Linked DNA regions of Callithrix jacchus. The main gene of each other region encodes a partner of the protein of the gene in region 3 in a complex. Links are inferred from orthologs where the notes say so. Each region holds a gene or a part of one and is shown on either strand. Other genes may lie near its edges. The genes, in order: PPP4R1, PPP4R4, PPP4R3B and PPP4C.

Region 1 (5,944 bases), on a different chromosome or scaffold from region 3:
TGATTCCTTGAAAAATACAGTAATTACTAAGAAGTTTAAGGAAAGGTCATGACATTTCAGTACAAATTAGCCTAATCAGCTTTTTCTTTTTTTTTTTTTTTTTTAATAACTGAGAGATCAATTTCACTGAAGAGGTGCAAACTTTGTTACACAGAAATCAGCCCTGGCAGGGAAGGTTACATCACCAAGCTTAGGAAGAGGTACCACACGAAAGTCACAAAGTTCCAGACACAATGACCTGAAGCAAGGGTTTACTTTGTGTGTTCTGTTGAAAGGGGGTGGGGGTGGTGTGTGTGGACGAGGAGAAAGCAATAACCATGGACCTTCTTTCATCTATACAACAATGCTCATGGCACGAAGGGCCCAGAACTTCATACTTGCCAATAACAGTACAGTTCTATTACAGTTTAAATAAATATTTTGAGATCAAGTGTGAAAATCAAATAAGCATTTATAATACTATTTCTATGTGAAAAATTAAATCCTATATTATCAACAATTAACCTACAGATAAACTTTAGATAATAACACATTTTAAGTTAGAAACTTAAGCATGTTGAATGTGATAACAATTTCTAACGCTTCAGATAAAAATGAAGAAGCCAAATTATGGGGCTCTGACAGTGTAAAAAAGAACACACTCCGTTATTACTCTTTTTTTTTGCAATGTTAATTCATTTTATTTATCTTGTATAAAAACCCTATGTTGCAGCTACAGCTGGAGCTTGGGTCCTCTGCACGGAGACTCTGGTGTGGGTCTTGACTAGGTGGTCAGTGAATTCCTGATAGGGAGACTTGGTGAATACAGTCACCTTCCAGAGATCAGGGGTCAGGTAGCTGTAAGTCTTGGAGATGGCATCAAAGGTGGCCTTGGCAAAGTTGCCCAAGGTGGCAGTGCAGCCCCTAGATGAGGTGTAGTAGTCATCAATACCAGCCATCATAAGCAGCTTCTTGGGCACAGGTGCTGAGACAATGCCAGTGCCCCTGGGCGCGGGGATGAGGCGCACCAGCACAGAACCACAGCAGCCTGTCACCTTGCAAGGGACGGTGTGGGGCTTGCCAATCTTGTTCCCCCAGTAGCCTCTGCGCACGGGGACAATGGAGAGCTTGGCCAGGATGATGGCCCCACGGATGGCAGTGGCCACCTCCTTGGAACACTTAACACCCAGATCGACGTGACCATTGTAGTCCCCAATAGCAACAAACACCTTGAACCTGGTGTGCTGGCCAGCATGGGTCTGCTTCTGCACCAGCATAATCTTCAAAACCTCATCCTTGAGAGAGGCCCCCAGGAAAAAGTCAATGATCTCAGATTCCTTGATGGGCAGAGAGAAGAGATATAGCTCCTCCAGAGATTTAATCTTCATGTCTTTGACCAGGCGGCCCAACTTGGTGACAGGCATCCACTCCTTTTCCTCAGCTTTGCGTCCACGAGCTCCGTGGCCACGACCCCGGCCCCAGATGCCACTGCCAAAACCTCCCTGGAAGCCACCACGGTTCCCCATCCCAGGGCCCCCAGGGTGCCCGGGGCCTCCGGCATCCCCGCCCACGCCCCCCTCCGCTGCACCAGCATCATCCACCATTTGATGTTTTATCGGAGAAGAAGCCATTATTACTCTTAAGCTCTTCCATACATAATTTCCTATAGCATTAAGTACATGCTAGAACATGAACAGAAATTCTTTAGGTTACAAAAAGCAAAGCACTGTGCTTTCCACATGCATGTTCTGCTAATTCTTTAACTGCTTTACTCACCTGCATGTCTGAGGCCAGAGTCTCATATGTCTCTCTCAGACAGTGCCAATTCTGTCTGCCGAGTGTCAGAGCCACACCAGGGAGACTATATGCACAGTGCTTAGCAATTTCAGTGTCAACCGTCTGTGCACGAGAAGGGTCAGTCATAGATAAATACTGATCTAACAAAGCCTGAGGTACAACATCCTAATGGAGAAAGAGAAACCACAGTGACTGAGGAGCTGAGATACATTTTGAGCAGTTTAGATATCAATTGAGCAAAACTATTTTTAAATATACAGATTTTAACATAGCATCTCAAATGGGAAAAACCAATGCCAAATTTTCTGGTATCTAATAAACTAAGAGATACGAAAACCATGTTAAGGGAAACATATATGAACAAATAAAAGTAACTCTAGGAAAACAATGGATAACATCTTAAAACAGAAAATAGCTCAAAGGACAATTAGAATTAATTACTAAATTGAAAAGACACATTAAAATAACACCAGCACCTTTAAATGTAGGCAGAGATGATAATGCTTGTTGTAACCCAGCAAATGCAGTATAACAGGTGCTCTGCACAATTTACATGTTCATTAAAAAAAAAACAGCCAGGCACAGTGGCTCATACCTGTAATTCCAGCACTTTGAGAAGCCAAGGTGGGTGGATCACTTGAGCCCAGCTTGGGCAACATGGTGAGACCCTGTCTCTACTAAAAAATTAAAAAATTAGCCAGGCATGGTGGCTCACACCTCTAATTCCAGCTACTCAGGAGGCTGAGGTGAGATGATGACTTGAGCCCAGGGAGGTAGAAGCTGCAGTGAGCCATGATAGTACCACTGTACTCCAACCTGGGTGACAGAGCGAGACTCTGCCTCAAAACAAAAATTAAAAACATGGCTTCTTTAGATGAAAATTTAAGCAATTTTTTATACAAAATTGAAGAGCACATCTCTAATCAATTTGTATATATGTGAAGAAAAGAAGAACATATTTGCGATCTTGCCTAGGTGTGTATAATATAGCTATGGAAGGACATAAAGGTAAAACTGGTTGTATCTCAAAAGCAAAATGGATGAATGGAGAAGAAAAACTGAGAAGGAAACATCACTGAATGCCTTTTAAGTATCTTGAATTTTGAACTACATAAACAAATTACCCATATACACAAAATGAAAATGGAAATAAACTCATTAAAATAATGATTTGAAATATTGAAAATATGTCTGTAAGTGGGGAAGAAGCATGTTTCAGAACACTGTTTTGAATATTTCATTTTTAATAAATAAAATAAAAATTGGCTAGATACGGTAGTGCGCATCTATAGTCCCAGCTACTTGGGGAGCTGAGGCAGAAGGATCGATTGTTTGAGCCCAGGAGTTCGAGGCTGCAGTGAGCTATGATCCTGCCACTGTGCTCCAGACTGGGTGACAGAGGGAGCTGAGACCCCATCTCTAAAAATAACAACAAAATATACCATTTGACCTGGGAAATTATTGTTACTTCTAACAATAATAATATAGTCCAGGCCAGGTGTGGTGGCTCACACCTGTAATCACAGCACTTTGGGAAGCCAAGGCAGGCGGATCACTTGAGGTCAGGAGTTCGTGACAGCCTGGCCAATGGCGAAATCCCATCTCTACTAAAAATACCAAAAATTAGCTGGGCAGGGTGGCTTGTGACTGTAGTCCCAGGTACTTGGGAGGCTGAGGCAGGAGAATGGCTTGAATTCAGGAGGTGGAAGGTGCAGTGAGCCGAGACGGCACCACGGCACTCCAGCCTGGGCAACAGAGGGAGACTCCATCTCAAATAATAATAAAGTCCTAGAAGCAAACAACAAGTATAGGCAGTCATGGTGAATGTAGCACTACTTATAGCATCAAAGTGAAACTACAACAGGTAGCATCTCTCACGGTTTCTTACGAGGGAGACAACAGGTATGGCGTTAACACTGTGCTGCGCTGCTGTGAAGGTGAGGGAGTCCTGGTGTGCTTACAGGAGAGATCACCAGGTCACATTGTTAGAAGAGGAAAAAAAAAGAGCAAGGCAAGGCACAGCTATCACATTCCAGTGATTCCATGAGCACAGTTTCCTTGCAGCTTGTTACTGACAGCACTTTAAAATGGCTTTGAGCCTTTTTAAAAATATTTTCATCTCTGAAATCAAGCTATATTTTATAATTATTGGCAATGGGAACATGAGGACATACCTAGGTAGGATGGGATGACCACAGTTGTCTTGAATGATAAAAAGGGGTACATGTGTACATTTATGTGCCCATGAAGATACATGAAGGAAGATAGCAGGGTTCATGATCATGGTCACTCTGAAGGAAGAATGGGATCACAGGGGTAGGAAAGGGAAGATTTGTGCTTACATGTTCCTCTACTATTTCAATGGAAAATATGATATACTAGTCATAATTTTTAAAACATTCATCATAAAGAAGGGTCAAATTAGGTCAGAAATGGGCTCTAAAAGAGGAATTAGGAACAGACACACAAAAGAATACATTTTTTTGGTCACTTACTTGTACTTTAGTTCTCCTTTCCTCATCAGGGCTGAAACTGCTATTGTTGCTCAAGTCTGAATCGTTGTGAATATAGTGAAGAGTGGAGTCCATATTCTGTTAGGAAAAAATAACTACTTAAAGAGCTATCCTGTCTGTACATCTTCATTTTAGCTATCTAAGTTACTTACCTTTCAAGACTGCCAAAAGTAATAACACATATAAATTCCTCATGTTTTTAAAGCTTATAAACATACCTAAGAACTTTTCCTGCTTTAAATCTATCTTACTGAATAGGTTGCCAAATGCATGAAAACCAATTCCAGAAAAATGAGAGTAACTGAAAATAATATCTCAAAGTAATTTTGAAATGGTCCAAATAGCTCAAATTGGCTTATTCATAAAATAGTACTGGGAAGATTCTTTTGGTCCATTGTTCTAGAGACCATGGAGTGTCACATGCAGTTTTTCTTCTATTTCTATTCTTGGCTGTTAATATCCAATTTCACAAGTTATATACATGTTAACAGCCAAAAACAGTAACAACAACAACATAAAAACCTTCTAAGATGCAGATATATTAATGCTATTCAAATCTCCAATAAATGGTCAGGGTTTCAATCCAAAGCAGTGGTATTATACAGATTTCTAACTATACCACATGCCATCTAACTGAAATCAAAACAGAAACGCACTAATGTTCTAAGAACCCTCTTGCCAACCCCAGTGTGTGTGCAGGCACTCTTTCCTGAGCTTCCCATTCAAGCCAGTATAATCTGTGACCATGCGATTCTGGCACGCAGTGGGGTATTCCTTCTCCCCATTAATAAAAACAAGAGCTAAGTAGCACTGTTACCAAATAATGTTGGCTTGATTGAGATGCAGCAGGAAATTAGGGAAGGATCATAGAGAACAGCTACAAGTACAAGTGAAGATGATGCTAGGATCAGTACCCACCCTCACACTCCAGAGTCCAGATAATGTCACTGGCCCTCCGCAACATGGCCTCAAGTCCCGATCTTCTGCTCAGAATATTGTGTTGCTTGCTGCAGTGAAATGGTCCGATCAGAAACAAAGCACCTCTCCAAAAAGAAAAGGGAAGAGTTAATTATTCTTGATAAAGGGCTTTGTTTCCAGTAAGACTACTTCACTGCAGTGAGCTACATTAACATTGAGTCTACTAAATGGTCATATAGACAAAAGTGGGATTTACTTTTCCAGGCAATTCATATGACACTGGTGTCACAAGGACAGGATGTGATGAAAACAAGGAAGAGCTAAAAACTCAGCAACAAACAGAACATACAAACTAAAAGTGATTAGCTAAAACTATTCCCCAATGAAAAGTCTTCTGATTCAAACTACTCTCACTCGGTAAACACTTTACTGAGTTTGTTACCTCAACAGTATCGCTGATTAAAGGCACAGAATCATCTTGACTTATTTTACAATTTGGTAGCTCATTTATACCCAGTTCATCTTGCAAATCACTTCTCTTTTCTATATTGATGGTCTCTTCATGCGCATCCAGGCTGGAAGCACGTAGTGCAGCAGACAGCACTTCCACTTGTGCTACAGGCAAAATAAGTAAATGGACAAAGTGAGAAACACAACTGCAATATTCTTACAGGGCTTTTGTCCATTTGCATTGTACGTTATCAATGAAATATATACTTTCTTGACACTGCCATCAA
Region 2 (5,944 bases), on a different chromosome or scaffold from region 3:
GTCTTTATAATACAATGTTTTATAATCCTTTGGGTATATACCCAGTAATGGGATTGCTAGGTCAAATGGCATTTCTATTTCTAGAACCTTGAGGAATCACCACACTGTCTTCCACAATGGTTGAACTAACTTACACTACCAACCACGGTGTAAAAGCATTCCTATTTCTTCACATCCTCTCCAGCATCTGCTGTTCCCTGATTTTTAACGATCACCATTCTAACTGGTGTGAGATGGTATCTCAATGTGGTTTTGATTTGCATTTCTCTAATGACCAGTGATGACGAGTTTTTATATGTTTGTTGGCTGCATAAATGTCTTCTTTTAAAGTGTCTGTTCATATCCCTCACCCACTTTTTGATGGATTGCTTTTTTCTTGTAAGTTTGTTTAAGTTCTTTGTAGATTCTGGTTATTAGCCCTTTGTCAGATGGATAGATTGCAAAAAAATTTTTCCATTCATTGGTTGCCAGTTCAATCTAATGATAGTTTCTTATGCTGTGCAGAAGCTCTTAAGTTTAATTAGATCCCATTTGTCTATTTTGGCTTTTGTTGCCATTGCTTTTGGTGTTTTAATCATGAAGTCCTTGCCTATGCCTATGTCCTGAATGATACTGCCTAGGTTTTCTTCTAGGGTTTTTATGTGGTTAGGTCTTATGTTTAAATCTTTAATCCATCTGGTATTAATTTTTGTATACAATATAAGGAAGGGATCCAGTTTCAGTTTTCTGCATATGGCTGGCCAGTTTTCCCAACACCATTTATTAAATAGGGAATCCTTTCTCCATTGCTTGTTTTTGTCAGGTTTGTCAAAGATCAGATGGTTGTAGATGTGCAGCGTTACTTCTGAGGCCTCTGTTCTGTTCCATGGGTCTACATCTCTGTTTTTGTACCAGTACCATGCTGTTTTGAATGTCAGTAATACATCACCTCTCATTTATAAAGCACAAGAAATATGCACAGAAAACTAAGTCAATGCAGTTGTGTTTTCTATATTTTCTCACATTTAAAATACAAAACAAAAACTTCTATATTTGTTCCCATTAAAAAATGCTCATAAAATTCTTAGGTTGAACTTTTCAGTATCTTTTGACAATTCATTTTTGTACATATCTCAACACCAAGGCTATTAATCTTAGCTAGCTTATTATCTCACCAACTCCTCCTATTAAAAAGTTTTGATGTTTTTACATATTGCCTAAAATTCACATCAGTTGTTTATAAAAGAGGTACATATGCATCTCTCTGATGCATAAAACTAAGTGCCCCTAGTGTATAAAAATTTAGAAAGGAGTTCAAGAGTTTGTCCAGGAAAGCCTTTGGCCAACTGACTCTGATGTTTCTCTTTCCTACAGATTTGAGCTCAAGTTCAAAATGGAGATGCAGGACTTAGAACACAGTAATCTAATGATTGAGGGTTTAAAATTCTTTATCAATTGTACAAAAATAGCTCTTAAGTAATAATGTGCATTTACTTTAATGTTTACTTTAATGTAAACTGAACTTTAATGTCACTTTATAGTTCAGTGATATATATTATATATAAAATATATAGTAAATTATATATTATATATAATATAAAATATATAGTAAATTTTATATTATATATTTTACCACAATAAAAAAAAAGGAAGATGTGCTCATTTGGGGAGAAAGAGGACAAAATATATTTATTCTTTTTTTGCATTTCCAGGCAAGCCATTTTCAGGTCTGTCCATCCAACTCAACAGTTAATCAAATGCAATTAACATTTCAGTGGATTTCAAAAATGTAAGGCAGCTAAACATAGAAGACAAGATGAAGACTTCGAAGCAATACTACTTCTTTGAATAAATGGGCCTCGAAAAACTAACGGATGCTCACCAAGCCAACTTTGAAGCAACAAGGCTACTGACCAACTTTTCTTTAATTTTAATGAAAAATTAATAATATCTACTCCACCTTCTAATCATTGCAATGCATATGCCTAAACAGCCAAAGAAGGTTACCAATCTGGCTTTGACTTACTGCTGCTCTCAACCCAATAAAACAAAAGATCTGAGACAGTGCTGAAAGAGTGTGCTTCCAAGTCTTACTGATACCCATCAATTATGAATACTAACAATTTCAAAGCATGTGTAAATTCTTCACTTAAATTTTTAATTGGCTAAGAAAAAGACTTTGCATATGTTCACTACAGTAGATAAAAATAAATACAATGTTTTCAAATTTTTTCATTGATTGATAACATACCTCACATTTGCTACTGGATCACGTGTCAGTTCAATAGCAGGTAGAAAGAAATATTTACAGAAAAACGATTTGGAAAATATCTCTATAATAAATTCACAAGTATCCAAAAATCGAAGTCTATTCCAGTAACTTTTTCCTTGGCCCAATTCTAGAAACAACAAAAATCATCTTAAGTTAATTTTTCCTACATGAAATTAATGTGACAAAATTAGACACACAAAATTCATAACAAGTTTCTTCATACTCACAATTTGGCTAGCAAGTACAAGAGATAAGAGGAAAAAAATCATTATTATATACCTCAGATTTGTAAATCCCCAAATTGACACCTCAAAAACCATAAAAAAAAATTTGTCAAACATTTCATTCAATTTCATAAGCATTTATTAACTATGGAATGACTACATTTACTACTTTTTATCACCCACTATGTGCTAAGTACTTTACACATATTATCTCATTTAACCCTGAAAAGCAGCCCAAATTGATGCACATATTTCTTCCTCCTAAACATAAGGATACTGAGATTTAGTGAGTTTAAAGTCATACAGCTGGCAGGTGCAGAGCTAGAATTCAAACACAGGTCTGTAAAACTTCAAAGTGTTTTAATAATCAAATTTTCTTCCCTTTGTTTCCTTAAAAATGCTAGATACAGTCATATGTAAACAGTATTATTGATAATAATTGAGATCAATATTAAAAAGGTTTTCTTTTTACATAAACGTTCAAAAATAAAATTCTTAATATTTAAAACCAAACTGAATCTTCTTTCAAAATAAAGCATTCTAAACATGAGGTCTTACCACTGAAAACTGAAAACTGAATTAAAATAAGACTATAAAAAGAAAGATTAAAGTATGCTGAGCATACCTTTTCTTAAATGGAATTTTATAAAAGGAGTCTAATTTTTTGAAAAGTAGTGATCCACACTTAAAATGGTAAACTCCAATAACTAGAAAATCCCATTACCTGCCTATGCTGGATAATATAGATTAGTAAAAACATTAAGACATTATAGGCAAAGCAAATATACAATAATTAACAAACTTACTAAGTATATATGGGTATGTGCAACTATTTCTAGAATCAATACTATAAACCAAAGGGTTCTGCCTTGATTTTAGCTCTTACCAAATCAAAATAAATTTGCATTTGTAAACTGACGTAGTTTCTTAAGGCATTATAAACCAACTAGGCTCATCAAATTCATATTCAAATATACTATCAACTCTATTCAAGGAAAAATCCCAGATTCTGTTAATTATGTTAATATTGAAATAGGACCATAAAATAAATGATTAGATTCATGGATATTCTATTTATATTTTAGTTCCAAATGTTATTTCATCAGAGTAGAAACTGGGCTTTCAATATAAGTAAACATATTTTAATTTCTAAAGTGTAGAAATTCACAAAAGAAAATAGAGTAATTATTTCTTTCATTCATCATAGATCTAATCTTGCCATAAGGATTTCTTAAAAATGAAAATCAACTTATAAAACCCAATATCAACCTAATTATTCACAGCAAAATGACACATAAGTCAAATATAACTAAAGCCAACTAGTTTGTTTACTTTCCTTTTTCGAAATAGTAGATAATGTTTACTTACGTTCAATTAATTTTTGAATGACCTCATGTCTTTGTTCTTGTTTTCGATTATAACGCAGAAAAATGCATAGAGTTCGTGAGGCTGCCTTTTGGACAGGTAAGACATTCTTGAAGAAATAAATAAGGCAGACAGTTACACTAGGCTAATTCTATTCTAGATAATTTGGCCCCACCAAATCAATTTTAAGTTATTGACTAAAAAGAAATGGAAGTGTTCACTGTCTCTCAACTCACTGAACTTCTATCCTTCTGGAAGTATCTTCACAAATTAATGTTAACCACCAGGCAAATCAACTAATAATGATATTACAAAGTTAATTTGGCATAGTCATGTCCAAATCATCCAGATATGACGCTCATTTCCTTGCCATCTCACCTTAAATGATCAAATACATCCCTGTCACCTATTCTTTTAGCTGTTCCCTGGACTTTGTCATTCATTCATCTGACAACATTTGCTAAAACATGCCATGTGTCAGGTATATCACCAAAAATATGCCACTACTAAAATATAAACTTAGGGATCCCATGATCAGGTATGCTCTTCAATCCTTCTGGCTTAATTCTAGCTCTTCATGATACAGATGAAGTTTAGAATTCAAAAGATATCATGTCAATCACTCTTAAAGGTATTTCAAGTCCCTTTGTCCTTTGAATTTCTGTCACACTGCTAAGCAGAACCTTAAGTTAAATAAATACAGCCATTTTTCTTTCCTGGGTTTGGGTTCAAACCATACATTAGAGAAAAATCTCTTAACCAGGTATATTGTGCCCAGTATAAATTCACGTTCATTATCTTGACTTGCATACAAATATAATGTTGAATTACTACAGATCCCAAATATCATAGTGGGAATCCTCAAAATTCAAATAGAATGAAACTATGTTGCTGAGACAGTGTTACCTGCTACCTCCTCTCATATTTTATACAAGCTATTCACATTCTATCCGGTACAATTTGAGAGGGGTTTTTAATCTGTTGAATGTTAAAAGAGGTTATTTCCTATGATTTAGAAAATTTAAGAAATATACATAAGCAGAAACATGACTGGACTTAAGGAAAATGAATTTTTGATAAATGGCAAACAAAATAAAAGCATGTTATTCTTTCCTTTCATTTTGTATTTACTGATAAAATTTCAAATACATATACACTAGTCATATGAAAATATGTACATTTTGTATCTCATATAAAATAGATATTATATATAGTTTATGCCATAAGGTATTCTTTTGGGCCCAAAGTCAAAGATAAATGTAATCAGGTCAAAAGCCTGAAAAGCCAGCTTAAAGAAGTTGTGACAATTTGTACACAAAAAATAACTGCAATGACATTATTTTATCTAAAAGAGTCGAAATTAAAAACAAAGTACTCTTGTCACCATTAAAAATAGCTACTGCATCAAATCCTAGCTCTGAAAATTGATAATTAGAGGAAAAATATTAAGAATTCATCCTGTCTTTACATTAGTAAATGTAGCTCAAGGTCATCAAATAACCAATGAGGACAAAGGAATGTACTTCTTCACAGAATGCCACCATCAAAAATGTATAAGAAATGATGGAATTTTAAAATTATTTTGCAAGTTACAATGAAATCACTGATTCAAGTAAGGATAATCAATAGACTCTAAAACTAATAGGTAAAAGGCTGACAGGAAAATTGGGTATTCAGAGGGCTGAAGTAGCAGCTGAAGATTGAGTTGACTATTCAGGCTCTTTTTTGGTCCCATATAAATTTTAGAATAATTTTTCTAATTCTGTAAAAAATTACACTTGTAGTTTGATATGAATGTGTTGAATCTGTAATTGCTTTGGGCAATATGGCCATTTCAACAATATTGATTCTTCCAATCCATAAGCATGGAATGTTTTCCCATTTGTTTATGTCATCTATGATTTCTTTCAGCCATGTTTTATAGTTTCCCTTCTAGAGATCTTTCACCTCTTTGGTTAGATGTGTTACTGGATTTTTTTGGTGTGTGGCTATTATAATTGTGATTGCATTCTTGATTTGGCTCACAACTTGATCATTATTGATGTTCAGAAATGCTACTGATTTTTGTACATTGGTTTTGTAACCTGAAACTTTACTGAAGTGG
Region 3 (6,705 bases):
CTAAATTTAACATAACTCCTAAGTGGCCCTATGATTTCAATTAGAAAAGTGAACTCAATTTAAACAAAAATAAACAGGTAATCTCATTCATACCAGTTTTTCATTCTTCTACACTGTGTTTCCATATTCTTCTCATTACCAAAGTTTTCTTATATATGTCAATGTTACATAGCAAAAAAACAAACAAAAAAACCCACAGTTTTAAAAAGTCCAAATAGTATATTATTTGTAATTACGGAAAACATTCCAAATGGTATAATTTTTTAAAATAAAACAGTTTTTCTCCAATACTTTATACTTAGTGTATACAAAAATGCTAATTATCTAGAAATAATTTTTTAGTGCAGTAACATTATACACGAAATTACCTACATGTCCTAATGATTCTAAAGTATTCAGAGAACCACTGTGTTTTTTTAACTTATGTTGGGCAACTACAAGCCTACTCCATACTGTGATCTTTCCAACAGCTAAAGGATCTTACATATGATCTGAGAAGAATCCATTATTCTAACTAAATTTGTATGGAACTATTTATGACTTAGTTACATTTAATAAAAAGTTCCTGATAATTTTATATTTATGCAGATAAGGGAAATATGGTTAAAAAAATTAGTATTTCTGTCCCCACAAAGAACCAAGCAAACAAAAATAAACCAAAAGTGATTATCTGGTAAAAATTCAGTATAAAGATAGAGTAAGAACTGCCCAGCTGACTTAAAAATTAAATATACTTAAATGTCTACCTTAAAATGTCTAAGGTATAGGAAACATCTTCAGATTTTCAATTCAGGACAAATGTTTAATTTGCTTCTCCATCAAAAAAGACACACAATATTTTCTAAACAGAGAAAAAAGCTATTAATTGAATATTGAAAATTTTAAAGTATTTCAAAGAACTGATTAAGAATGTGTTGTATACATAAAACAATTGTTTAACAGTAAGACTTTGTATTAATAAGCTGCACAACAGACAGAATTTTATTCCTCCAACTATGAAGTACTTGTTTCTGGGCATCCAAATTTTCATAAACCTTGAAGCACTGATGCTGTAAATGTAATCCTAAAATAATTTATCTTCCTTCAACAATCTCTGCCATTGTCACTTTACATACCACACACACAAAATACCTGGAAATAATTCAAATGTATAACAACAGGTGTATGTCATAAATAAGAATACTATACAGAGTTTAAAAAGAAAACTAGATCTACATTGTTAACATGAACAAATATTCAAAATGAATGTGTGAAAAATGCAAGCTGCAGAATACATGTAAAAGTACGATATCAACTGTGTAAAGTTTAAAAACACACAACAGACTACATATTATTTATGGATACATACATATGCAGAAAAGGTATAAAAGCATGTACACAAAGAATACACATCAACTTCAGAATAGTGGTTACCTATGTAGAGGATGGAGAATGGAGAGAATGGGATGGATACAAACAAGCTTTAACTCTATCCATAATGTTCAATATTACAAAAGTATTTGAAACAAGTATGATATAATGTTAACATTGTTAAATCTGGTGGTGTTACAGTAGACCCCCATTATTCTCTGTACTTTTCAATTTTAATATATTTCATAATAAAAATAAAAACATTCACAGAATAAAAAGGTTGAATCACTGCTATCATTTTCAGATTAATCAGGCATGCTAAAATACAACACACATTTTCTTTCCCAAATAAAACAATAAATATTAACAGAAGATGGTACATAATTGGCAATGTACACTTTTATAAAGTATCCATTGATTACTATAATAAAAATATACAACAATTAAAGAGCAGAATTTAATGTTTCTACTTCAAAACCTCTATCTTTACCTAAGTCAAAGGATTTAATTTCACACCACAAACAGGCTTTCTTAAAAGTGTCCCTTTGAATTTTCTTTCAAGTCATTTTCTTTAAATGTGACTCAGAATAAAAGGTTTCATATACAAGGTATAGAAGAGTCCTGGCTAACTATAGTTAAATAATACTAATACATCATAATCTAATATAAACTGACAGTGGTTCAATTCAAAAATGGTGATAATTATCACCAGTACAAAAACTCACTTTTCAGTCTGAAACTTTTAACCTGCAAGAGAAATACACATGATCTTTGTTTACTAAACATGTTTTTTCTTGTCAGGAAAGCTTTCCCACCTTTGTCAGATTAATACTTCCTTGATCACAGATGAAGTCTTTCAAATTAAAGATAAACAACTACTTGCCTGTTGTTTCTGATATGCAGTATTTGGATTTATCTTTGATTCCAAGAGTAGTGATCCTGAAAGATAAAAAATAATAATATATCATAAGTCTAAAATGATAAAAACCTAAATAAAAATAAGAATACACATTAAGGCCAGGCACGGTGGCTCATGCCTGTAATCCCAACACTTTGGGAGGCCGAGGCAGGCAGATCACAAGGTCAAGACATCAAGACCATCCTGGCAGACACAGTGAAACCCCATCTCTACTAAAAATACAAAATTCAACTGGGCGTGGTGGCATGTGCCTGTAGTCCCAGCTACTGGGGAGGCTGAGGCAGGAGAATCGCTTAAGAAAGAGGCGGAGGTTGCAGTGAGCTGAGATTGTGTCACTGCACTCCAGGCTGGTGACAGAGCAAGACTCCATCTCAAAAAAAAAAAAAAAAACCACACCCCCCCCCCCAACGTTTTCATGTCTTTTGACCCAACTGGATATCTGAAGTAATAAAATGTATTCGAATTCACATTTTCTCTCCAAGTCTAGGCTTCATATTTAATTTAGAATATTTCTTACTATTCCCATACACTCTTAAAGAAAAAAATTCGTTTGAAACCAACATTCAAACCAAGGAATGAGGAGACTAGATGGCTATTAAAATTTTACTGAAATAAAAATTTTAAGGTCTAAATGACCACTTCAAGCCGTTTTTTAAAGTAAAAGTTGTTTTATTGTATTCCCAGTTTAACAATAAAGCAAATTACAAAACAAAAACAAAACACCATGACAGGGATTAAATACTTGGTATACAAATTAAAGTGCTGCATTTATCCTTTTCTCATTAAGAACAAAAGAACACCTTCTGTAGAAATAAGCGTTGACTATTTAAAATAAAAGGGAACGTGCAAGAAAACAAAATATGTCAAGAATAAACCTAAGATTAGTTTTCTAAGTGCCCATATTAGTTGTTCAAATCAAGTCCAGATTACAATATAAAAGGCGTTTTAATTACGGCTCTACATTTTGTAATTTAAAATACTTCACATGACTACAATAAATCAAAGAATATGAGTTTACAACCTGCTTTGGTGTCCCAACTTGCTTAGACTGCAAGGCATTCACTTTTTCACAGCGCCTTCTACAAAGGCAGCCCAAAGAAATCCCACACTAAAGATGTATGTGCTTGTGTGTCCATGTATCGTGGTAACAGTCAGCAATACAGCCAGGAAAAGGTGCCTTTTGGTTTTCCCCAGCACCCGCCGACTGTGGCACCTGGGGCCCACTGGTAAATTTCTTTTAACGACACTCGGAAAGAAAAGTTTCGCTAAACCTTTTGTACTAGATGTATAATGGATACGAAAATAAAGGAATAAAGGGGGAGGAGGGTGTCAGCTCCTACGGCGACATCAGTACCTAGTCTCTCACTACTTCCTCCCTTCTCTTACACTCTCCCCTCTTCAAAAGAGGAGGGACTGTAAAAGAAGAAGTCCAATCCTTAAGAGGGATGGGAGGCGGACAGAGTCTCAGTCTCTGAGGATAAGTCCAGTCAAAAGTACAGTAGTTTGTTTTTGGCGTACACAAGCTCCAGCTTAGAACCAACGCGCTGTCCCGAAGTGGTAGTAACGGTAACCGGCCCAGGGCCTTAAACCCCAGACTGTGCCCCAATCAGAGGCACTATCCCCTGTTCTACCGTTCCGATAACCTTACCGTCGGACTCTGCCCGAACCAGCAGCGACATCCCCTTGAGCTCCTCCACGTAAGTAGAGGAGACGTGCCCGGTGCCTCGGTCGTCCCATTGCCGGTCTTCGTTTAGGGTATAGACCTTCACTCGCCGCCGCGTATCCGACATGGTGGCTGCTGTCTCCACCGCTCCAGCCGCCGCCTCCTCGCTCACCTCGTCCGCGCCCCTCACTCTTGAGAGACGGTAGAGGCGGTAGTGGCGGCGGCGGCTCCGGAGAGGCCCGAATTCACCATGGTCCAGAGATTCAGCCGCGAGAAGGGGTGACAAGAGCCACTGAGACCCCTTCGCCCGGAGGCCCTGTTACCTCTCACTTCACCCCCGCATACACCCACCCTCCGGTCCCTTTGCTCCCCAGGGCTCGCTCGCTCTCCCACCGCCGCCGGTACCGCCGCGGTAACTACTACAGATCCGCCATCTTGTAATCCGACTCTCTCTGCCTTTCTTTTCCTCCTCCAGCAGGCTCGCACGGGCTGTCCTAGCAGGGGCTACGGCGGCCGACGAGTTCAATGAACCGCACCTCCGCTTCTACAAGCGCTTCCGAAGCCGGAATGCTCAGCGTTCTCGCGAGGAAGGGTACACGACTGGGGCAGGAGTGCTTCAGCGAGACTTCCTCCTCTTCGGCCCCGCCTCCTGGCGCGGGATCGTAATTGGGCAGGAGGTTCTCGCGATCTTCCCGGCATGCGCCGCGAGAGGCTGCTCGGCGGAAGGCGGCTGGGCTGAGTCCGGTTCCGCACTTCGTCAGGTTATAGGCTAGCTGGCAGCTGCGTGTGATGTTCGCAGAAACTCAGTTTTGAGGAAAAAGCAAAGCAAACCGGGGAAGTACGAAGCCTTGAACCGGAGTAACCAGGTACAGAAAGAAAAGTGCTCGCATATCTTGATGGAAGGAAGTTCACTCCGTCCGCCAGAGGGAAAAAAATTCAAACCTTTCTGTGAAAAAGAACAAACTGTGAAATTTAAACCTTTCTGTGAAAAAGAAAAAGAGTAGAACTCTTTCAGCCGAATAGAAGCCCACTAAACCTCGTTACAATTAAGCATCTGCCCAGGAAGTGTCTGTGCACACAGCTCTCCAGGCGGTTCGTGCAAGTGTGTTGACAGTTTCCTATTTCCCTCAGAGCGTTTCACCACCGCCAGGCTTTTAATAGCTGGCGATTGGAAAGCACATTTTCCGCTTCATGCAATACAATGCTCTTCCCATGTTTGTAACCTTGGAAAGTAAGTCTGCAGATAAGTTTAGGGAAGTGGCGGGGAGCTACTTTCCTAACATCTGTCATTGTTTCGATAATTCAGGTTCTCACGGGCGTTTCCTGTATTCTCTATAGGGGTCTCCTGCACTGAATAAGCGAAGGAGAAATTTCCTCTGCATCGAGGCTATTGTCGCACTTTGCGAGGTGGATATGGTTCACGCACTGGGTCGTAGTAGCGTGTCGTTTATTTAAATCCCAGCTCGCTCTTTGTAGAATCCCTTTATTCATTCTGTTGTTGGTTGACAGTCTCTTTCTGTCGCCCAGTCTGTAGTGCAGTGGCGCGATCTTGACCCACTGCAGCCTCCGCCTTTAGGGCTCAGTCAATCCTCTCACCTCAGCCTCCGGAGTAGCTGGGACCACAGACGCCCAATCCCCACCCCGGCTATGTTCGTTCTTTAATACAGTCTCTCAGCTTGTTCAGCTGTCACTTCTGTGCAGCCCGTTAGCCACTTCAGTGAAAACCAGGCGAGTCATGCACGCTGACTGACCCTGCAGTGCATTTTGGGAGTTGTAGTCATAGTTAATCAATGGTCTTGTTAAAACGTGCTTATGTTTTGACCAGATCACTTATGAGTGGACACCCTTCAGCAGTATACTACAACGTGGGTCAGTGTACAGAACACACGCGCTGATAATTATTTCAAAATCTGGATTCACAGTATTTTTTGTTTGAATTTTGAGACGGAGTTTTCCTCTTGTTGCTCAGGTTGGAGTGCAATGGCGCGATCTCGGCTCACCCCTACCTCCGCCTCCCAGGTTCAAGTGATTCTCCTGCCTCAGCCTCCCAAGTAGCTGGGATTACAGGTATGCGCCACCCACGCCTGGCAAATTTTGTATTTTTAGTAGAGACGTGGTTTCTCCATGTTGGTCAGGCATGGTCTCAGACTTTTGACCTCAGGTGATCCGCCCACCTATGCCTCCTAAGGTGCTGGGATTACAGGCTTGAGCCACTGCGCGCGCCCGGCCCAGAAAACAGCTTTTTCTCGTTTTAAAAGAGAAGGGTGCCCAAATGGGACTTCTCAGTTGCTGTTTTGTGTGTGTTTTTTTTTTAATCTATAGGAGACCTCAGAAAATGTACTTGAGCTAAGTCATCATGATATAGTACATAACAATAGAGCCAGTTAATTGATGTGATGAATGTGGACAAAATGTGTTTTGACCTCAGAGAAAATAACATTTCTGCCTTGGAAGAGTCAGAGAATGCTTCACACAATTTTTGAGCCTGATGTTAGACGCTCCAGCCTTCTGTCCAGCCTCACCCTTTGGTTGCTTCTCAGGAGGGCTGAACTTGGGAAGAGGATTGTGCAGACCCTGGAATCAGGCTTGGCTTTTGGGATAGGGAATTCTAGAGTGCCCACAGCATGGTCTGAAAAAGGGAGAGTTGGCTGCAGGTGGCTTTAGTCCCATGATTCCATGGACTTCAGACTCCTCCAAAGCACAGGGCCCAGTGCTTGCTCAAGTCTGAGGGCACCTCACAACCCACATTTTCCTCAGCGGATGTTCTTTGCTT
Region 4 (5,944 bases), on a different chromosome or scaffold from region 3:
CTCCGTGCGGTGGCCCCAGTGCCGAGGCCTACCTCCTGCACCCTGCAGCTTTCCACGGGGCTCCCAGTCACCTTCCCACCAGGTGAGTAGGACAGGGGACCAGATGGTGCTGCGGGTCCCTCTGCCCTGCTCTGACATCCCTCTCTCCATGTCAGGAGCTCCAGCTTCCCGGAGGCTCCAGACTCTGGGCGCTCAGCCCCCTACTCAGCTGCATTTCTGGAGCTGCCACCTGGGCCAGGGGCCTCTGGGTACCCAGCGGCTCCGCCAGCAACACCCTTTGCCCCCCACTTTCTCCAAGGGGGCCCCTTCCCTCTACCATACCCTGGGCCTGGGGGCTACCTGGATGTGGGCTCCAAACCCATGTACTGAGCCAATGCTGGGCCCTTCTGCCTCCATCATAAACCTCCTGCTCCCTTCCCCCAGCCCTGGAGCCCCCTCACCTCCACCGGCCCCATCCCCCACACCAAATGGCTGCCTTGGGCATGCCCCCCACCCCCCAACTTCACACCTTGATTTCACTCCCACCCCCCTCTGGCTTCAAAGCCCAACCAAGGCTGCTGGGAGTCCAGCTGGGGCCAGCTTCCCCTTCCCGCCTCTCACCTCTGTGTGAATGGAGGGGACTCTGCCTGGCCAAATGGGGCCACAGACCAGCATCCCCACCTCTCAGGCCTCTCCATGGACTCTGGGAGGCTCAGTCCCCACCACCCCCAACACCACTGGTGCAGGCCACACCAGTCTGTTCTGGGACCAGAGTATTTTTGTTAATAAAATTCAAGAGCCATCGTGCTAAGGAAACATTGGGCTCATGTGTTTGGCCCTGGGCGGGGCAGGGTGAACAAAGGCTTTGCTAGAAGACCCAGGCCCAGATCTAAACCTGTGTTTCCAGCTGCCTGACCTAGCACAGAATCCACTGGCTCTCTATGCCCATCTCCTCTTTGGAGAAATCAGAATCTCATGTTGTCAGTCATTAATAAGGCTGCCATGAGAAGTGAGCCTCTCCCTAGCGCTGGGGAGGCCAGCAGACAGCAGCCCCTGGAGGCCCTGGGTAAGCTGACTGGCCTGAGTCAGGCCCTCCTGCCAGGTCCGGGCCCTGAGGCAGTCAAGGCCCTGACGTCCTCCCGAGGTCCCAGGCCAGCAACCCTGCACATCCCCAACCAAGTCTGTCTGGCACAAACCCAAAGATCATTTTTCTTCTTTTATTAGAATTTTTTTTTTCATTTTTTTTTTCTCAAAATGTTTATCTAAAAACAAACAGAAAAAAGAAGGAAAAAAAGAAAAAAAATTATTGGAAACTTCATGGTTCAAGTGGGGAGAGAGGAGAGGAGGAACATGGAGCTAGGTCTCCAGGCCTCTCCAGAGAAGTCCTCACCCTCAAAGCACCCTCTTGGGGGAGAGCAGAGCTGGAGACAGCCCTCCGCCCACGCCCAGCCTCCATCTGGGGAAGAGGCAGAGTCACAGTGGTCCGAGGGCCAGAAGGGCTGGAGGGGGCAGGGGCCAGGGGCTCACAGGAAGTAGTCGGCCACCGGCTTCTTGGAGGGGATGCCCCGTGTCTCTTGGGGAGCAGCCTCAAAGATGATAAAATCTTTCTGGAGATGCTCGTCCAGCTCCAAGATGGCTGCCACATTCCCACAGCTGGAAGGCAGGACGGCAGGGTCAGGAGCAGCTGGGCTCAGATGTCCATCCCTCCCAGCCCGGCCCAGCCGGCTCACCGGTAGCAGTAGTTGGGTGCTGACCACACAGTGAGCACGGTCTCGTTGAAGTGCCACTTGTAACCTTCCATCACCAGTTGGTGGGCACGGCAGATCATGTCAATGTCATTGGCTGCGTTGAACTGGGCCACCACATCACTGCCAAACAGGTAGCCAGCCCCTCGGGGGCTCACACCCCAGCCTGTGGTGTCTGATGGGGCAAGGGAGGGATGGAGGTCCTCAGGGTTCTCTGGCTGCCAGTGCTGCCCCTTGAGGTGAGCAGCCGGGCCCCTCCCAAAGGCCACCAGAGGCCCAGGGGACCAGAGCATGGGGCCTGAATATGGTCTGGGGAATGGTAGGGGTCAGGACAGCAAAGGTAGGGGCAGATAAGCTCCAGAGAAGAAAGAACCAATGGCTGGGGCCCCCTCTGAATCACAGTGATCATACAATTCCCTGTCCGAACAGCACACGGGAGTGAAAGCGGTGGTCCCAGAGACGTTAAGGGCACTCTGTGCTGTCACAGAGCAGTCGGGAGTGGCTGTGGAGCAGCAGCTGCATGTGTCTGTGTGTCTGTGCTGCAGCAGAGGCTGCCTGTGCATGTGTGTGTACATGTGTGTGTGTGTGCTGGAGCAGAGGCTGCCTGTGCATGTGTGTGTACATGTGTGTGTGTGTGCTGGAGCAGAGGCTGCCTGTGCATGTGTGTGTACATGTGTGTGTGTGTGCTGGAGCAGAGGCTGCCTGTGCATGTGTGTGTACATGTGTGTGTGTGTGCTGGAGCAGAGGCTGCCTGTGCATGTGTGTGTACATGTGTGTGTGTGCTGGAGCAGAGGCTGCCTGTGCATGTGTGTACACATGTGTGTGTGTGTGCTGCAGCAGAGGCTGCCTGTGCATGTGTGTGTACATGTGTGTGTGTGTGCTGCAGCAGAGGCTGCCTGTGCATGTGTGTGTACATGTGTGTGTGTGTGCTGGAGCAGAGGCTGCCTGTGCATGTGTGTGTACATGTGTGTGTGTGTGCTGGAGCAGAGGCTGCCTGTGCATGTGTGTGTACATGTGTGTGTGTGTGCTGCAGCAGAGGCTGCCTGTGCATGTGTGTGTACATGTGTGTGTGTGTGCTGGAGCAGAGGCTGACTGTGCATGTGTGTGTACGTGTGTGTGTGTGCTGGAGCAGAGGCTGCCTGTGCATGTGTGTGTACATGTGTGTGTGTGTGCTGGAGCAGAGGCTGCCTGTGCATGTGTGTGTACATGTGTGTGTGTGCTGGAGCAGAGGCTGACTGTGCATGTGTGTGTACATGTGTGTGTGTGTGGAGCAGAGGCTGCCTGTGCATGTGTGTGTACATGTGTGTGTGTGTGCTGGAGCAGAGGCTGACTGTGCATGTGTGTGTACATGTGTGTGTTTGTGCTGGAGCAGAGGCTGCCTGTGTGCGACAGCAGGAACTCTGGACTGCTCCTCAGTAGACCTGATTTTAAATCTCAGTTCTGCTCCACTAGTGGAGAACCCACAAAATGAAGGGTCTCAAAGGGGCTATCATTCTGGGGTTCTGACCTCTGAAGAAGCTGCTGTCATGTTCCAAGGCCCTTTCACTTCAGGGAGCAATGATTTGGTCCTCCACAGCCCTCTGGGCCATGCCTCAAGCCACTGTGCACTCAAAGCATCCGCCATGCAGGCCTCCCTGTTCCTCCTCCAGGGTTCCAGCCATTTGGTAGGTGGAAGATGGACACTAATGGCCAGCCCTGCTCCCTCTCTTCCCCAAACCCTCCCGGCTGTCCCTGCCTGCCCCGGCCCACATGTCCTCACCTTCTGGGTCAGACCAGAGGAGGTCACACATGGGCCCATCATGAGGCACCTCTTGCTTTCGGTCGATAGTCCGGATCTGGTCCAGGGTCTGGATGGAGGGGGAGAGGCCCCCGTGCACACAGAAGATCTATAGGGGAGAGCAAGGAAAGAGGGCGGGGCTGAGGCCCGGAGCCCCCTCCTCTCCCCATCCCATGGAGCCCTGGGCTGGCCTACCTTGCCATCAATGATGGCCGACAGGCTGAGGTAGTCGAAGATCTCGGTGCAGTAGCGCCACACGGTCACCGAGCCGTACTTGCGCAGGCACTCATCGTAGAAGCCGTAGACCTGCGTGATCTGGCGGCTCTCATGGTTGCCCCGAATCAGTGTGATGCGGTCAGGATATCGAACCTGGGGGTGGCCAAGCCAAGGCTGGTACCTAGACTATCCCTCCACACATCCCCCTCTAACCTCCTCACACCTGCCAGCCTCATGCCATCCTCACAACCACTGCCCAGCACACTACTGGCTCCTCTCACCTGAATCGTGTGGCACCAACCACTTCCCAGGCCCGCAGGACCCTTTCCAGAGAATGTAAACCTGACTGTTCCCCATCAACTATGAACCTAATGGCTCCTCTTTCACCTGCCAGACACAGACCAAGTCCTTAGTAAGGCACACAGCCCTTTGTCATCTGACCCCTACCACCTCTCCCACCAGTGGCATCAATCACCTGGCACATTCTCAACAGTAAGCCTCTACCCCTCCCAGAATGCTGCTCTGCTGGCCTCCCCCCACACCAAATTTCTGACCGTCCCCAAAGGCAGAAGCAATTCATGACCAGCGACACAGCTGCAAGGTGGGGCTGGTCACGGTAGATGAGGGCGGAATGAACTAAGAAGGCCCAGCCTGCGGTGGCCTACATTGGGGTACAGAAGCCGGGGACTGTCACCTTAAGTGCCAGCAGCAGGAGGAACGTTTCGACGCTATAGAAGCCACGGTCCACAAAGTCCCCCATGAAGAGGTAGTTGGTCTCAGGGACGTCACCACCCACCTGTAGGGAAGTGAAAGGTTTTTCCCAATCCTAAACCATCCCCTACCCCCTACCTGTTCCTGCCCAGGAGGCCCGTCTTCCACAACTGCCCATCTAACTCGGGGCCTCTTACCCCAACTCTGTGCCCCAAATTAAGGCTTCCACCCTCGATTAAAGGGGTCTTCCAGTCATCCCCCAGTTACATTTCAGTGTTGGCCACACACTCACCCTGAACAGCTCTTTGAGGTCATAGAATTGTCCATGGATGTCGCCGCACACCTGTGGAGCAGGAAGGGGGGTTGGAACTCGAGTGGTGGGAGTTCCCAGGGGCTACCCTCCAAATACCCATTGCTTTAGGGAGCTTTATCGCTCCTGGCTTCACCTCTACTTCCTAGAGCCAAAACTCTCCTCTCCCAACCCAAGCTGGCGAGGTCTGGAACCACATCCACTGTCCCACACTAAGTACCAACTATTCTTTGAGGAAGAACTAAGTCCTAGCAGGTGTATGTCCTGGCCCCCTCCTCTTTCTGCTCCCCTCAAAGTATCCAGAATCAAATTACTAACACAGAGCCCTGGAGACAAGTGAGCAAAATCACTTGCCAAATATAAGTCCTTCTGCTCTGGCCAAGTCTCCACTAACAAATCAAAGGTCTGTTCCCACAACCCCCATTTCTTTTTTTTTTTTTTTTTTTTTGAGATGGTGCCTCCCTTTGTCACACAGGCTTAATTAGAGTGCAGTGGCATGATCTCGGCTCAAGACCTCCACCTCTCGGGTTCAAGCGATTCTCCAGCCTTAGCCTCCCAAGTAGCTGGGATTACACGCATGGAACACCATGCCCAGCTAATTTGCTAATTTTTGTATTTGTATTTTTATTTACTTATTTGTTTTTGAGACAGAGTCTCACTCTGTAGTCCAGGCTGGAGTGTAGTGGCAAAATCTCGGCTCACTGCAACCTCGGCCTCAGAGGTTCAAGCGATTCTGCCTCAGCCTCCCAAGTAGCTGGGATTACACCCACACCTGGCTAATTTTTGTATTTTTAGCAGAGACACGGTTTCACCATGTTGGTCAAGTTGGTCTTGAATTCCTAACCTCACAATCCGCCCGTCTCGGCTTCCCAAAGTGCTGGGATTACAGGTGTGAGCCACCGCACCCAGCCTTTGTATTTTTAGTAGAAATGGGGTTTCACCAAACTCCTGACTTCAAGTGATCTGCCCACCTTGCCCTCACAAGTGCTGAGACTACGGTGTAAGCCACCATGCCCGGCAACCCCCATTTCTTATAGCAGTGCTCCCTTGAAGATGAGGGAAGGGACAGATAAAAGGGGCTTAGGGGTGGGCTTATGGAGCCCCCAAGATGAAGGGGAAAGTCCATGTGCCTAAAAGACAAGGCCTGGCTCTGCAGGGACAGCAAGTACTCACTGTGACTGGCGAGTCCACCCTCTGCACGTTGCT

The links.
Region 1: PPP4R3B (region 3) and PPP4R1 share a complex: the UniProt entries of both Homo sapiens proteins name them as parts of the PP4 complex. The link is inferred for Callithrix jacchus from reciprocal best matches to the Homo sapiens genes PPP4R3B and PPP4R1.
Region 2: PPP4R3B (region 3) and PPP4R4 share a complex: the UniProt entries of both Homo sapiens proteins name them as parts of the PP4 complex. The link is inferred for Callithrix jacchus from reciprocal best matches to the Homo sapiens genes PPP4R3B and PPP4R4.
Region 4: PPP4R3B (region 3) and PPP4C share a complex: the UniProt entries of both Homo sapiens proteins name them as parts of the PP4 complex. The link is inferred for Callithrix jacchus from reciprocal best matches to the Homo sapiens genes PPP4R3B and PPP4C.

What each region holds. Positions count from the first base shown.
Region 1 is NC_133514.1:53,378,015-53,383,958, reverse strand, and holds part of PPP4R1 (serine/threonine-protein phosphatase 4 regulatory subunit 1), read right to left. Parts: intron 5,823-5,944; coding exon 5,650-5,822; intron 4,368-5,649; coding exon 4,272-4,367; intron 1,942-4,271; coding exon 1,756-1,941; exon of another isoform or gene 655-1,755; intron 1-654. UniProt on the Homo sapiens protein: Regulatory subunit of serine/threonine-protein phosphatase 4. May play a role in regulation of cell division in renal glomeruli. The PPP4C-PPP4R1 PP4 complex may play a role in dephosphorylation and regulation of HDAC3.
Region 2 is NC_133509.1:129,079,396-129,085,339, reverse strand, and holds part of PPP4R4 (serine/threonine-protein phosphatase 4 regulatory subunit 4), read right to left. Parts: intron 3,950-5,944; coding exon 3,844-3,949; intron 2,379-3,843; coding exon 2,231-2,378; intron 2,040-2,230; exon of another isoform or gene 1,692-2,039; intron 1-1,691. UniProt on the Homo sapiens protein: Putative regulatory subunit of serine/threonine-protein phosphatase 4.
Region 3 is NC_133515.1:58,563,538-58,570,242, reverse strand, and holds the start of PPP4R3B (serine/threonine-protein phosphatase 4 regulatory subunit 3B), read right to left. Parts: upstream 4,377-6,705; 5' UTR 4,060-4,376; coding exon 3,918-4,059; intron 2,290-3,917; coding exon 2,234-2,289; intron 1-2,233. UniProt on the Homo sapiens protein: Regulatory subunit of serine/threonine-protein phosphatase 4 (PP4). May regulate the activity of PPP4C at centrosomal microtubule organizing centers.
Region 4 is NC_133513.1:29,434,925-29,440,868, forward strand, and holds the end of PPP4C (serine/threonine-protein phosphatase 4 catalytic subunit), read right to left. Parts: coding exon 5,912-5,944; intron 4,772-5,911; coding exon 4,721-4,771; intron 4,514-4,720; coding exon 4,412-4,513; intron 3,871-4,411; coding exon 3,697-3,870; intron 3,611-3,696; coding exon 3,484-3,610; intron 1,900-3,483; coding exon 1,710-1,899; intron 1,633-1,709; coding exon 1,503-1,632; 3' UTR 1,186-1,502; downstream 1-1,185. Other genes in the region: T-box transcription factor TBX6, read left to right, coding at 1-82, 156-369. UniProt on the Homo sapiens protein: Protein phosphatase that is involved in many processes such as microtubule organization at centrosomes, maturation of spliceosomal snRNPs, apoptosis, DNA repair, tumor necrosis factor (TNF)-alpha signaling, activation of c-Jun N-terminal kinase MAPK8, regulation of histone acetylation, DNA damage checkpoint signaling, NF-kappa-B activation and cell migration.